Linked DNA regions of Xenopus tropicalis. The protein of the gene in region 1 interacts with the protein of each later gene in a pairwise test. Links are inferred from orthologs where the notes say so. Each region holds a gene or a part of one and is shown in the gene's direction. Other genes may lie near its edges.

Region 1 (3,657 bases):
GGGTTAGTGTTGGGGTTAGGGTTAGGGTTAGTGTTGGGGTTAGGGTTAGTGTTTGGGTTAGGGTTAGTGTTGGGGTTAGGGTTAGTGTTGGGGTTAGGGTTAGTGTTGGGGTTAGGGTTAGTGTTGGGGTTAGGGTTAGTGTTGGGGTTAGGGTTAGTGTTGGGGTTAGGGTTAGTGTTTGGGTTAGGGTTAGTGTTTGGGTTAGGGTTAGTGTTTGGGTTAGGGTTAGTGTTTGGGTTAGGGTTAGTGTTTGGGTTAGGGTTAGTGTTTGGGTTAGGGTTAGTGTTTGGGTTAGTGTTTGGGTTAGTGTTAGTGTTTGGGTTAGTGTTTGGGTTAGGGTTAGTGTTTGGGTTAGGGTTAGTGTTTGGGTTAGTGTTAGTGTTTGGGTTAGGGTTAGTGTTTGGGTTAGGGTTAGTGTTTGGGTTAGGGTTAGTGTTTGGGTTAGGGTTAGGGTTAGGGTTAGTGTTTGGGTTAGGGTTAGTGTTTGGGTTAGGGTTAGTGTTGGGGTTAGGGTTAGTGTTGGGGTTAGGGTTAGTGTTGGGGTTAGGGTTAGTGTGTTAGGGTTAGTGTGTAAGGGTTAGTGTGTTAGGGTTAGTGTATTAGGGTTAGTGTATTAGGGTTAGGGTGTGTATTAGGGTTAGGGTGTGTATTAGGGTTAGAGTGAGTTGCTTTGTGGGAGCCTCACATGTTTGGGTTACTTTAGCAATGTTTTGCCCTTAATAAAATAAACTTGTTCCAGACCAGGTACCGCTGTAACGCACAATAATCCTTGGAAATACTGGGCAGTTCTCCTTAAAGGAGAAGGAAAGGGTCTCGGTTAAAGGAACAGTAACACCAAAAAATTAAAGAGTTTTAAAGTAAATGAAATATAATGTACTGTTGCCCTGCACTGGTAAAAGTTGTGTGTTCGCTACAGTAACTCTACTATAGTTTATATAAATAAGCTGCTGTGTAGCCATGGGGGCAGCCATTCCTGCACTGGTACAGCTGGGGTGTTTGCTACAGAAACCCTACTATAGTTTATATAAATACCCCGCTGTGTAGCCCCGGGGGCAGCCATTCCTGCACTGGTACAGCTGGGGTGTTTGCTACAGAAACCCTACTATAGTTTATATAAATACCCCGCTGTGTAGCCCCGGGGGCAGCCATTCCTGCACTGGTACAGCTGGGGTGTTTGCTACAGAAACCCTACTATAGTTTATATAAATACCCCGCTGTGTAGCCCCGGGGGCAGCCATTCCTGCACTGGTACAGCTGGGGTGTTTGCTACAGAAACCCTACTATAGTTTATATAAATACCCCGCTGTGTAGCCCCGGGGGCAGCCATTCCTGCACTGGTACAGCTGGGGTGTTTGCTACAGTAACTCTACTATAGTTTATATAAATACCCCGCTGTGTAGCCCCGGGGGCAGCCATTCCTGCACTGGTACAGCTGGGGTGTTTGCTACAGTAACTCTACTATAGTTTATATAAATAAGCTGCTGTGTAGCCACGGGGGCAGCCATTCAAGCTGGAAAAAAGGAGAAAAGGCACAGGTTACATAGCAGATAACGGATAAGCTCTGTAGAATACAATAGTGTTTTATCTGTTATCTGCTATGTGCCTGTGCCTTTTCTCCTTTGAATGGCTGCCCCCATGGCTACACAGCTGCATTCTTTATATAAACCATAGTAGTGTTTCTGAGGCAAAACACCAGTTGTACCAGTGCAGGGCAGCAGTATATTATATTGGAATTTCTTTCATACACTTGAATTTTTTGGTGTTACTGTTCCTTTAAGTGATTATATATATATGCCTAATATTTGGCAACCCCTATTGATTTCACCTTTCCTTCCCCTTTAAATAGGAAGCAGTGGGGGTAAAGGAGTTCCATGTGTCCCATGTAGAAATATTACGGGCAGTTGCATAATACATTTTGGACGTATTGCTGGGAGCAGTGATCCATATGATGGGGGCGGGGGGGGGTTAAACGCCACGTTACATTATTGGATCCAAAACTTTTTATGCCCGTTGGTATCCTGCTGGCTAAGTGGCTGCCCTGCACCCAGAGCAGTATCTTTGTGCTCTACACAATGAGTTGTTCTGTGCTTCTCGGAAGCGCCACACAATGCCGGTGATTTCATCTCCAGCGGTACCTTGTGGGGTTAGTAAATCACATTTCCAGCCAATTAGGCAGCCTGATGCTGTGCAGCTCCCGTAATCACATTGCTGCCTGCTCGAAGCAAGGCTCCTCGTATTCGTTATAGGGAGTGTGTGAGCACCCAGGGACCTCCCTGCCCTCCTCCTCCTGCCGAAACATAAGCGCTCATCCCTAATGTCACGTAGAGCAATCTATCCCTTCCTCTAATTACCCCGCATTTCCTTGTTTTATCCTAAGGAGATGATAGCAGGCATGCAGCGCTAACTACCCCACTGCTGCTCATTGGATCTCCTCCGTTAGAACTGATTCATTAGCTCATCCAATGACTTTTCCTCTCTAAACTACAGCAGCAGATAGACCCTCGGCCTCATTAGCGCAGTATAACGAGAGAATTTGCTCATAGAACTAATGCAAACCCTTCTGGTCACTTTTGTTTTTTTCTTCTTTTTACCCCCAGGTGCAACACTAAGCATGCGACCTGCCCCTATCCCCATAGACACAGACGCAGAATGGAGACAGACCCCGCCTCCTGTCACCGCCACTTCCGGCACCTTCCGGTTACGAAGGGGAAGTCGGTTCACCTGGAGGAAGGAATGCTTGGCTGTGATGGAAAGGTATGACCCTAGGCAGACACCGTACTGTGCAATCTATGTTTGGCATGGCTGGGAAATGATACTAATTAACTGGCCCTCACCATTAAAGGAATACTGTCATGGGAAAACATGTTTTTTTTCAAAACGCATCAGTTAATAGAGCTTCTCCAGCAGAATCCTGCATTGTAATCTGTTTTTCCCATGGGGCTAGCCATATTCTTCATTTCCCAGTGTGCCACAGCCATGTGACCTGTGCTCTGATAAACTTCACTCACACTTTACTGCTGCGCTGCAAGTTGGAGTGATATCCCCCCCCCTCACCCCCAGCAGCCGATCAGCAGAACAATGGGAAGGGAGCAAGATAGCAGCTCCCAGTAGGTATCAGAATAGCACTCAATAGTAAGAAATCCAAGTCCGGCTTGGGACTCCTCCAGTTACATGGGAGTAGGAGAAACAATAGGTTAGCTGAAAGCAGTTCTAATGTGTAGCGCTGGCTCCTTCTGAAAGCTCAGACTCAGTCACACTTTACTGCTGCGTTGCAAGTTGGAGTGATATCCCCCCCCCCAGCAGCCGATCAGCATAATAATGGGAAGGGAGCAAGATAGCAGCTCCCAGTAGGTATCAGAATAGCACTCAATAGTAAGAAATCCAAGTCCGGCTTGGGACTCCTCCAGTTACATGGGAGTAGGAGAAACAATAGCTGAAACAATTAGCTAAAAGCAGTTCTAATGTGTAGCGCTGGCTGAAAGCTCAGACTCGGGCACACTTTACTGCTGCGCTGCAAGTTGGAGTGATATCCCCCCCTCACCCCCAGCAGCCGATCAGCAGAACAATGGGAAGGGAGCAAGATAGCAGCTCCCAGTAGGTATCAGAATAGCACTCAATAGTAAGAAATCCAAGTCCGGCTTGGGACTCCTCCAGTTA
Region 2 (3,657 bases), on another chromosome or scaffold:
AGTGCAGTCTATTATCGTGGTTCTTTTATCGTGGTTGCAATCACACTTCGTGCACCCCTGGTAGTTACACTACTGCATCTATTTTATCAGGTTTTTTGAAAAATATTTGCTTAGCATTCATTCAATCTTTGGATTTAAAACACCTTTGATTTCAAGGCAAAGTTTACAGAAATATGAAAAAACCATAAATATCCAAAACAGTGTGCATTCTGAAAACCCCTGTTGCAGCGCCGGATTTTAATTCCAGGCGCCCCAAGGCCACCCCCCTGGCGCGCATGCGCAAAAATCTCCCCTCCCCCCCCGCAGACGCAAGTGCGCATGCGCAGCCATTCAAACTACCATACGGAACAGTGGGGAGAAGTCCCCATTGCTCCGTATGGCCGCAAAATGTTAAATTTTCGCTGCGGCGGGGCGGCATTCCGCCCCTAAATTTGTGCCGCCCTAGGTCCGGGCCTTTGTGGCCTCGCCACAAATCCGGGCCTGCCCTGTTGTAAACACAATGAGTAGAAGTACACAAGCAAAAAAGTGCTGATGTGGTCTTAACATATAACTTGTGTCAGGCCCCAGGGGGCATTGTTTACTAATGAGGATATAGCAATAATTAAAAAAATGTCACTGTTTTTACCAAAACTGCAGTGTTTTCCATAGAACTACAATATAATTTTGACTGCCACAAGTTGTAGCAAAATTTGGCACACACCATTATGTGCAAGCTAGGCAGCAACATGCGCAAAGTTTAACCCTATTTGGAAATGGTGCACTAGCATCATTTTGGACCGTAGAAAGCAGTTTCAAATAGTTATTATTTTGTTCTGTGAAGGTAAGGAAACTCTTAAATTGTATTAAAGTAGTGTTTGCATCAAGCCTAAATTTTACTGTGTATTAGGACGTTGTTTATTTTGGCTTTTTTTTCTTTTTGCATCTGCAGAATCTGTATTATTACACTAGCAGAATGTCACCCACTTCTTCAAAATGGAAAAACCATTAAAACTATTAGTTACCAGATCAGTGCCAATTGCAGCAGACTGCAGAACAAAGTCTCTGGAAAATCCAAAAGGGTAAGAGATACTGAGTACAAGTTGCAGTGTAATCTCTGAATCTCTATAGAATCTGAATGCATGCTTTATTACTATTTAGGGATTAGTGGCGCTTTAAATTTTCGTTGTGGGGCTCATTGACAGAAGGAATAAATAAAAAGAAGGTCTGTAAAGGGTTTTTCAGCCAAACAGTCAAATCAAAATAACCAGTTTATAAAGCTGAAAGCAATTACTGATTTCTTAATCATTTTCATGCATGAGTTTTTTGCTATACGTGAAACACCACACGAGGCATGTGCTTGAGTGCAGACAGAGGAAGCAGATTTTGGAGCAGCAATACATACACTTGTGTTTTTGCACCAAAAACTACTCCATGAGGCCAGAGGGAGGAGTGAATTGGCTGTTTCTCTGCTTTCATTTATTTGCAGGCAGAGAAACAGTTGGAACTTTTTATTTGTAATATCATTTGCATATTTGCAACCTTTGCTGAAACTGCATTTTGCAAAATGGTCCCCTGTAAAGACCCCTGTAATTCTGAATGTAAACACCTGTATAATGCATAATCAAAAATGTATCTAGCTATAGCCTAGCTACCAGGGCACCAGGGAATGCTGCCAGAAATTTCTGAAGAGTTCCTTGTGTGATTTCTCTGGCCCTAGCATAAAATACAGTGCCGTTAATTCTACACATCATTGTACATTTTCTGTATGCAGCAGTATAGATATGATTCAAAATGCTTAAAAGGCAATATATATTTTATATGTGTTACTGATGCAGCTTGCAGTATCATTATCAAAAATAACATTGTTTTCATTCTGGTTGATCACAAATGATGGCATCCTGGAGTCCTCAGGTTATGTTATAATCTCATTACAAGAAGGCAGGAGAGGGATATGACTAGTAGTCCATTTTAAGTAACTGGCCAAAGAAAAATTATGCTGACATACCTTTTTCTTACTGTCCTTATTCAAAATTAAAAATGGTCTGTGAAGTAGTAGTAGTTTTAAAGTTATGTATGTAATGGCTATTAAAGGCATTATATAACTGTTTATATTCACTACAGTGAAGCCAGGTAACAGTCCTGGAGGACACCTGGGTTCTGCTGCACAGTTTGAAAAGCCAGACCCAATAACAAAAATAGATAAACATAATTGCAGTTATTTTTACAAATTAGTTCTTAATCAGTGAGTCTTTTAATCAATGTATATTTAAGCATAGTCATTCTTTAGAGAGGTCCCTTTTATGTTTTTTTTTAACAGACTTGCCTATATAAATGAATTGGTACTGATCTGCTGCTTCTCTTCATCTGGGCAGAATTCAATATCTGCAGTAGTACTTGGCATCATATAACCATGTTTTCTTAGGGCTGCTGTTTTTTATATTAATTTAATTATGAGCTGGGCTGTCTACTGAATCTGAAAGGTTAATAATAACCCTAATAACCATCTCTGTTAGTTCAGCCTTGCTAATTATTGCCATGATATTTGTGATTACGTGGATAAAGTAGAACAAACTAATAGAGCCACTGTTTCTGAATCCAATCCCTCTCCTCCTAGACTCAGCACACAGTAAAAGGACAAGCCACGACTGCCTGTCAGATATAACCCTGATCTGGCAGCTGAATGACAGTATTTGACATCACTGAACATCCACTTTGAAATCTTTTAATACCTGCCACATTGGTTGTCCAGCGGTTAATATTCCTGCTACATCTCCTTAATCACTTAGATTTCCTTCTCCTCCTGTAACCCACTCAGCCCCCCTCGGGAATTGGCTTTGATTTCTGGCTTGCCAGACATGCTCAATTGTTCTAAGCTCAGATTACTAAACGCGCCCTCCAGTCTAGCAGCCAGTAAAGAGATGGCATTTCTGGTTCCCATAGAAACTCAGCTCTAGCTGTCTGCTTCAATGTTTTTCTTCTAACCTCCTCTCCTGAGCTCTGCTCAAACAAAGCAGAACTTTTATCAGAGACAGTTCTGCCTGTGTGAGCCTGTATTATTGATGAAATGTATGCTGAATAAGAGTCTTTGGGGCCGATTCACTAAAGGTTGATAACGCTTATCGCATGCTTTTTTTGCGTTAAAAAGCATGTGTTAATTAAGTACCGATTCATCAAAGTCATTTCACATGCGTTATTTACCTCGCATTCCGTTAAGTCTCGCATAGAAATAATACTAACGAATGATTCACAAACATACATGAAGCGTTAAATGCACTAAATATCGCATTAGTCTGTGCGAAGATTAACACCTACTTGGGGCAGGCGGTACTGAAAGAAAATTGTGGTTCGTGAGCTTTTGGCAACACAACATGGACTTTGCAGTGGGATTTTTTCAAGTATGTGTTGGCTCTAGAGTGATGCATCCTCCAGTAGTTTCCCGAAAGTAATGGTTACGTGCGTAAAATCGTGCGCTAATATAGCACGCGGCAAAATATATTGCGTGCAGTGGGAAATAACGCACAGGGCAGGAAATAATGCAAGGCAAACGCTTATCGCAAGTTAAATAACGCAAAGAACAACGTGTCTTAATTATGCCGTTAAGTCGCAAAAAATAAGAAGCAGTAGGGGACAGAAGGGTAGGAGGGGTGGTTCATAGCTTGTACAAGCCAACAGATTTGC

Evidence for each region.
Region 2: the proteins of hmbox1 (region 1) and abitram interact in binary tests that used the Homo sapiens proteins (3 or more experiments, as listed by UniProt). The two-hybrid records come from large-scale screens. The link is inferred for Xenopus tropicalis from reciprocal best matches to the Homo sapiens genes HMBOX1 and ABITRAM.

What each region holds. Positions count from the first base shown.
Region 1 is NC_030681.2:151,834,943-151,838,599, reverse strand, and holds part of hmbox1 (homeobox-containing protein 1), read left to right. Parts: intron 1-2,597; coding exon 2,598-2,754; intron 2,755-3,657. UniProt on the Homo sapiens protein: Binds directly to 5'-TTAGGG-3' repeats in telomeric DNA. Associates with the telomerase complex at sites of active telomere processing and positively regulates telomere elongation.
Region 2 is NC_030682.2:76,821,440-76,825,096, forward strand, and holds part of abitram (protein Abitram), read left to right. Parts: intron 1-928; coding exon 929-1,058; intron 1,059-3,657. UniProt on the Homo sapiens protein: Actin-binding protein that regulates actin polymerization, filopodia dynamics and increases the branching of proximal dendrites of developing neurons.